2 linked regions of the Macaca mulatta genome follow. The protein of the gene in region 2 interacts with the protein of the main gene of each other region in a biochemical or structural test. Links are inferred from orthologs where the notes say so. Each region holds a gene or a part of one and is shown on either strand. Other genes may lie near its edges.

Evidence for each region. The genes of interacting proteins can lie anywhere in the genome.
Region 1: the proteins of COX4I2 (region 2) and CYCS form a complex in vitro, tested with the Homo sapiens proteins (4 studies listed by BioGRID). The link is inferred for Macaca mulatta from reciprocal best matches to the Homo sapiens genes COX4I2 and CYCS.

What each region holds. Positions count from the first base shown.
Region 1 is NC_133408.1:103,267,894-103,272,896, reverse strand, and holds CYCS (cytochrome c), read right to left. Parts: upstream 3,539-5,003; 5' UTR 3,276-3,538; intron 2,406-3,275; 5' UTR 2,398-2,405; coding exon 2,229-2,397; intron 2,124-2,228; coding exon 1,975-2,123; 3' UTR 1,107-1,974; downstream 1-1,106. UniProt on the Homo sapiens protein: Electron carrier protein. The oxidized form of the cytochrome c heme group can accept an electron from the heme group of the cytochrome c1 subunit of cytochrome reductase.
Region 2 is NC_133415.1:84,453,865-84,458,812, reverse strand, and holds the start of COX4I2 (cytochrome c oxidase subunit 4 isoform 2, mitochondrial), read right to left. Parts: upstream 3,095-4,948; 5' UTR 3,050-3,094; intron 2,002-3,049; coding exon 1,920-2,001; intron 783-1,919; coding exon 618-782; intron 1-617. UniProt on the Homo sapiens protein: Component of the cytochrome c oxidase, the last enzyme in the mitochondrial electron transport chain which drives oxidative phosphorylation.

The sequences.
Region 1 (5,003 bases), on a different chromosome or scaffold from region 2:
GAGTTTGAGACCACCCTGGGGCCACATGGCAAAACTCTATCTCTACAAAAAAACTAGCTGGGCATGGTGGTGAACACCTGTAGTCCCAGCTACTTGGGAAGCTTAAGTGGGAGAAATCTCTTGAGTCTGGGAAGTGGAGGTTGCAGCCAGCCAAGAGCACGCCACTGTACCCCAGCCTTGGCGATAGTGTGACCATGTCTCAAAAAACAAACAAAACCTCACAACTAGCCGAGATGAAAGGTTGAACACATTTCTGTATTTCTGTATCTACCTTAATATGTTTGTTTCCTGTATCATTTCCAGAATGCCAAAAAAAAAAAAAAAAAAAAAAAAAGAAAATCAACTCTCTAGCCTTTACTTTAGGTCTTTCACATTAGTCCAGGATTGTCCCCTTGTAAGTTAATTGCTACACTGTCCCTGAATACCACTAACTTTATGCAGTCACCAAGTCCTCTGCTACAAGGCCTTTTAAAGGCTGAAATCTTAAAAGTATTTCCAGGATGCATCTTTAAATTCCCCACCATAACTCAGACTAGGATTTCAAATATGAATTACAGCAAGCTTTCCACATTTCTTCTACAAATAAAAATAAGACTCACATGTTATAAATTGCTTTCAGGCCTTAAACACCTATCTAATCATCCCTATCACCTTTGAGACTATGGATTTACATCTTCCCAGTCTTCTCACTGTCCCACAAAGATACAGCTCTCAGCTCGCCAGCACAGATTTATTTTCTCATCATTCTTTATGTCTTACCTTGTGCTCACCATCTCCATAAAATCTCCAAGGACTATTCTAAATGTGTATGGCACAGACTACGCATGAAATAATTCAGTATGTAATTACACTGTTACACATCAGAAAACTATGACCAGAAGCATTTGTCTGTCCATGTCTGGCATAAATGCTGCAGTTCTCAATCTGGGCAAAGAAACTAAGAGTCAATTAGTGAAGTGTTATTCTAGTTCAGGCAGTCCTAGAAAACCAAGTAAACAATCTAGCACCATGACTGGTTAATGCTGCTGCACTGATATTTAGGGCTCCTGCACTTTTTAATCATTAAAGTTTCTGCATCAGTCATGAAATCAAGCACAGTCAAAAAATCATGATCTGTGGTTTTCTTTTTAATTATCTTTAGTCTTGCGATCACACATTTTAAAATTTGTGTATATCTCCGCTACTTTAATCCTTTTAAGTTGGCAAAAGCACCATTCCCAATCACAAATACACAGTTCTACAGTTTTATGTTTCTGAATGGCTGTTTAAAGACAATCCTAAATTATAACTTAGTTTGACTTAGATTGTAAAGAATTCAAGAGTGAAGTTTAACTTGCTACTATTTTAAAAGCATGTGACCTTATAGATTTGTAAGATGTGAGAAGTGTTGAATAATCTTTAATATTACACATAAACCATACTAAAATGCTCTTCAATAAGTAAAAGGAACCATTTTAAATACAGGGAATTATAATTAGATTGGCATCGTTAAGGCCAAAACTCTAGACATTGCTACCTTATTTATCTTCAACCCTTGCCTTTAAGAGGCAAATGAACACAAAACACAGGTGAATCTTGCTTAGTTCTGAGACAGTGAAGGAATTTCCCCAGTATTTAAATATATTCACATAACCAGCTATATAAATCTAAATATAAAACCAATCTCCAGTAAGTTTTAAGATGGCACTCACCATCTTTGCGAAAAGTTGAACATTACTAACAAAGTCTAATCATATCTTTAGAAGGGGTAAACAGTGATAGCATTTACTGAATTGGAATTACTATTAAAATTCAAAAACGGAACATATTCATTTAACCACAAGCCAGTCTTAGTTTTAAATCAGGACTGCCCAACAAAATATTCTGTCAGTCATTCATGATCTGAATTCTGGTGTATGAGATCTATTAAAGTATGGTACACATAAAAAAGTCATGAGACATTTGTTTTGTAATAAATAAGGCAGTGGCCAATTATTACTCATTAGTAGCTTTTTTGAGATAAGCTATCAAGTCTGCCCTTTCTTCCTTCTTCTTAATGCCGACAAAGATCATTTTTGTTCCAGGGATGTACTTCTTGGGATTCTCCAAATACTCCATCAGTGTATCCTCTCCCCAGGTGATGCCTAAACAAGAAAGAATGCATCGGTTAAGTATTTCACACTCCTCATAGTGTGTCACAGGTGATATTCGTGCGTTTTGTACTGTTTTATTTAACAAGTGGCTCTTACCTTTGTTCTTATTGGCGGCTGTGTAAGAGTATCCAGGGGCCTGACCTGTCTTCCGCCCGAAGAGACCATGGAGATTTGGCCCAGTCTTGTGCTTGCCTCCCTTTTCAACGGTGTGGCACTGGGAACACTTCATAATAAAAATCTTCTTGCCTTTCTCAACATCACCCATATTTAATTCTAAAAACGAAAGCCCCAACTTAGTAATTTTTCCTCAGGTAACAAATACAGTGTAAATGAATGACCACTCTAGCCACTTAATTACCAATCCATTGGTAATTTATGTCATTAAATACCAGAATTAATCTTGTATTGCTTTAATACTCTTTATACCAAATACTCTTTAATACCAAAAACATTTTTTAGGAGCACCTCCTCAAAAACCTATTTTCGTGTGTACACGTGAAGGAACGTTAAAGCCCAAGCAAGCAAAGAGGGAACCTAATTCAAACTCCAGTTTCAGAAGAGAAAATCATGGTCACTAAGCCACAGATCTGACGCTGAAGGGCGATCACATTAAGCCAAAATCACCACAATTTCAATTTTTAAGAAGGCCTAGTCATTTAATCTTACTACCATGTAAAGCTACCTCTTCCTGAGGATATTGCAAAGCACACAAATATTTAAAAAGCGGTACTGGCTGTTTCTACCTGCCCAGGTCACAGAAGTAGCCTGACACTCGAACTTGTAAATGGGAACGCAGGGGCAGGCTGCACGGTCCCCGCAGGACATCCCCACTCTCCTACCTGTGATCCCCCGGGGCGAACATGAGGTCACCCATCCAGGTCGGTTTCAAGGTGACTGATGAAACTGTTTCTAGGATGTCAGAACGACTGACGGAAGAAACGTGCCCACGTAAAGAAATGGCCCCTTATTAGAAGAGCAACAGCTTTTGCCCTCTGAAGGAGAACGTGAAGTGCTAAGCTTCGGCTTTCCGGGTGGGAAGTCTTGCCTATCATTTCCATAGCCCCTCAGCAACCACTACGAAAGGGGCCGCGTCTTCCTCGGATCTGTATCTAAGCCTCCTCTAGTCCCTGACTGAGACCATACCTGTCCCTAGTTAGGGCCGCCGCACCTCAAGCGGTTACTCGCCCGGTTCGGTCTGACCACAGTCCCGGGTCCTCACTCCCGGCCCTCCCACGCAGCGCGGGCTCCACTCGGAGGCTCCACGCCTGGGTCTCGGTCGCTCGCGAGTGCGCGCCGCCCACAGCTCTGCCTCTAACCAGGTGCGGCTTCCGCGACCCGCTCTCACCTGTTTTTAGTCGCTGGCGCAACGAATATTCCCGCTCCAAAGCAGGACGTCCCCACTCTCTAAGTCCAAGGACACGCCGGTTCGCGCTTAAGTACCGGTGTAAGTGCAACCAAACTCGCTCCGCGCTCCCGCGCCCTGACGTGCGGCCGAGCTGGCGGCTACGCAGTAACGTCGCCGCACCTCATTGGCTCTAGTCCCAATGCCTGCGCAAAGGACCTGCGCGCGCATGCAGGCGAGCATGTTAGGGTGTGCGGCGTGCGTGCCCTTCCTCTCGAGGCCTTTCTTGCCCGGCCGTTACGACAGGCCTTTGGTCGTACGACAACGAGGTGGTGTCGGGAGGGGTGATGTCACCCGCGGGCCTCTGTGCGCTTGCGTGTGCTGGAGGAACGGGGAGGGTGGGGCGGAGTCGCCTTGTTGGCGCGTTGCCCTGCTAAAGTATCAGTTCTTGGGCGTGGTGATGTAATGATCTTTGAGCAGGGCGTTCTGCCCGTCCAGGAAAAGACGCCTTAGTTTTGGCGCACCTAGAGGTCTCCTAGCTACCATCTTGTCAGCTGGCGACCTTTACCCAGACTCTGTCCTGCTCCCTTGGCTGGCGCCAGCAGCATCCTAGAGGGACAGCCTGGAACCAGGAGTTACACGAGTTGGGCAGCAGCTCGTGACCTTGTTCTAGTTCCACCTCTACTCCGTTACTTTCAGTCATCTTCCAGCTCTCCGCTTGATGGACGCCCCAAGACTGAGGAACGTGCTGCATTTGCGGCAGAACAGGATTATCCCTCTGACCCCTTACCTGTCAGCGTCTTTTCTGCTAACGCCCTCCTCCCCCTCGCGTTCGTGTGCCGAAAGAACACAGAATGTGTGCTGGCAACATCTAGGAAGAAACATTTTTAGATGATTAGAGAATTATTGGAAATCTAGAGGATTTGCATCCCTTCTTACCTAGGTAAAGGTCATGTTCAAGTAAACTTAATGCAGTTAAGATCATATTGGAAATAAAGGCGTTAATACCCAGCTTTTAGTTATCATAGCCATCCTTTAAAACTAGATCCCCTTCCTGACATGCCTAGTTCTGTCACTGGTTTTCTTGACTCCTTTACCCCTCAAATTCTGGTCCCAAGTTCTGATTAATTTTTCCATCTTTCTTGTTTTTTTTGTTTGTTTGTTTGTTTTTTCTTCTCTCTCCTTGTATTCTGTCTGGCACTGCCGTATTAAGTCAGGTGTTTATTGGCCGGGCGAGGTGGTTCACGCCTGTAATCCCAGCACTTTGGGAGGCCGAGGCGGGTGTATCACTGAGGTCAGGGGTTCGAGACCCGCCTGACCAACATGACGAAACCCCGTGTCTACTAAAAATACAAAAATTAGCCGTGCGTTGTGGCGCGCGCCTATAATTCCAGCTACTCAGGAGGCTGAGACAGGAGAATCGCTTGAACCTGGGAGGCAGAGGCTGCAGTGAGCCGAAATCGTGCCACTGCACTCCAGCCTGGGTGACAGAGTGAGACTTTCTCAAAAAAAAAAAAAAAAAAAAAAGT
Region 2 (4,948 bases):
GTGCTCCAAATATCAAAGGGTCAGCTCAGGGATGCTCTGGTGGACATGACAAGGGACCACACATCCCTCCAGTCTCCCAGGGTCAGAGGGCTCCTCCCCAACCACCTCACCTGCCTCTCTCTGTTCCATCTCTCCCACATCACTCAATTCCAGGAGCCTCCACAGTCTCCTGCTCTGGACACCCTTCCCTATGCAGTTCCCACTCCCTGGCAGTGCCCTCCTCTTCACCCTTAAAGGCGAGCTGGAATGTGCCCTCCTCTGGGAGGTCCACCAAGATTTCATCTCACAGTCCTTGAACACACCTCACCCTAGTCACATATTCTGTATTACAATTTTTGGGGTCTGTACTGGTTTTCCCCACGGGACTGGGAGCACCATGGGGACAGGAACTATCCAGGTGATTCACCTCTTGTCCCCAGCATTGCCTAACATCAGGCTATGCACAAATAGGTGAGTGAATAAAGAAACGAACAAAGGCATAAACTTCACCCCTCAGGTGTTTGGAGGTTTCTGGCTGTCTTGGGGGCCTCTCTCTGCCCTCTGATCCCTGATAGGCCCTTCTTTCCAAAGTTAGGCCCCAACCCACTCTCTCCAGCCAGCCCCACCCTGACACCTACGGGCCACCTTTTCGGCGTGGGTCAGCAGGGTCCAGCTTCCCTTCTCTTTCTCCTTCAGGGCCTGCTGCTCAGCGTTGAGTTCTGTGCAGAAGGGCTCTTCTGGCATGGGGTAGTGGCGCTGGGCATAGCAGTTGGTGTAGCGGGGCGTCTTCCCCCCACCACGGGCTGCAGACACAATGGAGGGAGCTGAGTCCAGGCTGCCCCTTGGACACCCTATCTCTAACTATATTAATAAAGAAAGTGGCTGGGCTTGGCGGCTCACGCCTGTAATCCCAGCACTTTGGGAGGCCGAGGCGGGTGGATTGCAAGGTCAGGAGTTCGAGACCAGCCTGGCCAAGATGGTGAAACCCCGCCTCTACTAAAAATACAAAAATTAGCCAGGCGCAGTGGTGGGCACCTATAATCCCAACTACTCGGGAGGCTGAGTCAGAAGAATCGTTTGAACCCAGGAGGCGGAGGTTGCAGTGAGCTGAGATCACGCCACTGAACACTCTAGCCTCAGCGACAGAGCAAGACTCTGTCTCAAAAAAAAAAAAAAAAAAAAGGTTTATAATAGCTTGGGGTACTAGCAAGGGCTCAATAAATGTTTCTTTGTTATTCTCCATGGGTCAGCAAGGCCCTTCTGCTATCTGGCTGAAGTCTCTCCTGCTTTAGGTCTCTTTCTTCTTACTAGCATTCAAACTGGGGTCTGGAAAGGAGGAATCAGGGTCCAAGGTTCTGTCAGCATCCTCCACCTCAGGACAAAAGACCTAGGGAGGCCGGGCGCGGTGGCTCAAGCCTGTAATCCCAGCACTTTGGGAGGCCGAGATGGGCAGATCACAAGGTCAGGAGATCGAGACCATCCTGGCGAACCCGGTGAAACCCCGTCTCTACTAAAAAATACAAAAAACTAGCCGGGCGAGGTGGCGGGCGCCTGTAGTCCCAGCTACTCGGGAGGCTGAGGCAGGAGAATGGCGTGAACCCGGGAGGCGGAGCTTGCAGTGAGCTGAGATCCGGCCACTATGCTCCAGCCTGGGTAACAGAGCGAGACCCCGTCTCAAAAAAAAAAAAAAAAAAAAAAAAAAGACCTAGGGACCTGAGGCTTGGGGGCGGGCTCCTAAGGAAGCTTGGAATGGAGATGGCCACTGTCTGCTCACCCCACGGACTCCATTTCCTGGAGAAACTTGGCCTGGGACCAAGGAGTGGGATCATAGGAAGTGTGGTAGGAACAGGCCCAGGGTGGCATGGAAGGGCAAAGGGGGCAGAGGGGACCCCTGCCCCTATCTCTGGAGTTAGGCTGGGAGGAAGGACTCCAGGTCTCACCGGTGCCTTCTGAGCTGTGCATCCCTCGTCTTCCACGTCCACCTTTCCTCAGCACCAAGCTCCAGGCAGCTTTGGGCAGCATCTGGGGGCGTGGAGGTATAGATGAGTTCTGCCCCCACATCACCCTCTGCCCCCAAACCTTAGGGCCAGACGGAGAAACCCTTTTCCACTGGTATGGTAGTGGTAGGGATCCCAGGGTTTCAAGGTCGCCCTCATGCCCTTGACCCTTCTAATTTTGTCTGATATCCCTGGGAAGGGGGGGCAATGGGGGTCCTAGACCTTTGGAGCCCCTTCTTGGGACCTCAATTCACCATCTGAGAAGTGGGAGGAGGCCTAAGTCTTGGGCCAGGGTCTGAAGAGTTTGAGGCTGAGGGCTTGGGTTCTAGTGCCAGCCCCAGCTCAGTCTGGCCAGACTAGAGAACTCTGCTCAGTTGTTTGCTCCCCAGAGGAAGCTGGGTGGGGTCCAGGTTGAGAGGGAGCAGGTCCCCAGGCTCTCTTCCCTGCCCAGCACAGGCAGAACAGACAGACCGTCTGGCCCCCACCTCTTCCCCCATAATTGGCCGCCTACGTGCACACAGCCCTGCTCTGCTGGATCTGGTTGGGGGTGGGGGACTGGGCTCAGCCAGACCGGCTAAGCCCAGTCCCCCACCCCCAGGGAAGACTCAGGGTTTGGCATCCATGGGGGTGGGGAGGGGCTTTAGAGGATAGGGACTCAACTGGGTCAGAGGGAGGGAGACACACATCTGGGGAAAAGAAGGGGATCCCACATCTAGGGGGAGAGAGGGACACCCAACAAATAGAGTGAGGGAGGGGGCACATTACAGGTGATAAGTGGGAGGGGGCGGCCCGCACTTCTAGAAAAGAGGAGCTCCAGCCAGTGATTATGATTAGTGGGTGGGAGAGCTCCACATATCCAGAGAGGGAGGGTGTAATCTGTATTTGGGGAAAAAGATGGCATACATATGCAGACAGAGGGCTCCCCAGGAACCCTCAACTCTAACCTGCATGAAGCCCCCCAACCCTCTAAGACAGGGACCACTCGGGGCGCGACCCAGCGGCGAAGGCAGGAGACCGAGCCGCGCCCCTGACGCGCGGGCTTGGGTTGCGGGGTCCTCCGCCAACTCACTCACCTCGCGGGCTCGGCAGCGGGAGTGCGACCTGGGTCTGCCCAGAGAGCAACTGAGAACCCGCTGCGGAGGGACCTGAGCGCGGGCGCCCGCCCCCGGCCCGCCCCACAGCCTTTCAGGGCCGCCCCCGCGTGGGAACGTCCTGCTTCGGCTGGGCGTGGGAGCGCACAGCCCGCGTCCCTGGGGGCACCCCGGCCCACAGCTTGGGGGGAGGGACTGCAGAGCGACTCCTGCATCAGTGTCCCTACCCCTGGGGTCCTGCCTCTGGAGACCCTCTGCAGACAGTAGTCCCAAGAGCAGGGTCTCCCTGCCTCCTCCACACGTTCCCTCCTTGCTGTTTCTCCCACCTGGGATGTTCTCTTCAGGCCTTTGAAGACACAAACCTTTCAGCTAGGCCCAAAGCCTCCTACTCCAGAAACATCTTTTAGGCCAAGCGTTGTGGCTCACGCCTGTAATCCCAGCACTTTGGGAGGCCGAGGCGGGCGGATCACCTAAGGTCAGGAGTTCGAGACCACCCTGGCCAACGTGGCAAAACCCCATCTCTACTAAAAATACAAAAATTAGCCGGGTGTGGTGGCGGCGCCTGTAGTCCCAGCTACTCGGGAGGCTGAGGCAGGAGAATCGCTCAAACCCGGGAGGCAGAGGTTGCAGTGAGCCGAGATCCCACCATTGCACTCCAGCCTGGGCAACAAGAGTAAAACTCCATCTCAAAACAACAACAAAACCAACAATAAAAGAAGAGAGGTCATCTTGGCCAGAGTGTCATGGTTAAAGGGGAGGCTGGATGGAGGGAGAGGTGGGCTGGACCACCAAGAAGGACCTGTAGGTCATGGTAAGGAGCTTGGATTTTATTTAAAGAAGGTGATTAAACTGGTGTGGTGGCACACCTGTGTAGTCCCAGCTACTCAGGAGGCTGGGGTGGGAGGTGGAGGTTGCAGTGAGCTGAGATCACACCACTGCTCTCCAACCTGGGCAACAGAATGAGACCCTGTCTCAATAAATAAATAAAATAAAATAAAATAAAAAGAAGGTGGGAGGCAACCAAAGTTAAGAAAAGGAGTGATGTGTTCGAATGGAGCAGAGCACGAGTTCAGTAAATGTGTCCCGGGACTGTCAGTATATGGATGGCAGATGAATGGGCGAGGGCTGGGGGTCCCCTCGGTGGCCTGGAGACAAGAGCTTTCCAGGTCTCCCTGCTCTAGGTCCCTGAGGTATGCCCAGCCCCCATGCCTTCCATCAGGGTTCCTATACCCTAACGAGGCCATAGCGGCCTGCTCCAGACAGTCTCTAAAGACTGGCCAGGTGTGGTGGCTCACGCCTGTAATCTCAGTACTTTGGGAGGCCAAGGCGGGCAGATCACTTGAGGTCAGAAGTTCGAGACTAGCCTGGCCAATATGAAGAAAACCTATCTTGCTGGGCGTGGTGGCTCATGCCTGTAATCCCAGCACTTCAGGAGGCCGAGGTAGGCGGATCACACACAACGTCAGGAGATCAAGACCATCCTGGCTAACATGGTGAAACTCCGTCTCTACTAAAAACATAAAAAATTAGCCGGGCATGGTGGCAGGCGCCTGTATTCCCAGCTACTTGGGAGGCTGAGGCAGGAGAATGGCGTGAACCCGGGAGGCGGAGGTTGCAGTGAGCCGAGATCGAGCCACCGCACTCCAGCCTGGGCGACAGAGCAAGACTCCATCTCAAAAATAAATAAATAAATAAATAAATATATATATATATATATAAAATAAAATAAAACCTATCTCTACTAAAAATACAAAAATTAGCCAAGCATCATGGCATATGCCTGTAGTCCCAGCTACTAGGGAGGCCGAGGTGGAGGTCGCAGTGACCCGAGATTGCACCACTGCACTCCAGCCTGGGCGACAGAGCGAGACTCCATCTCAA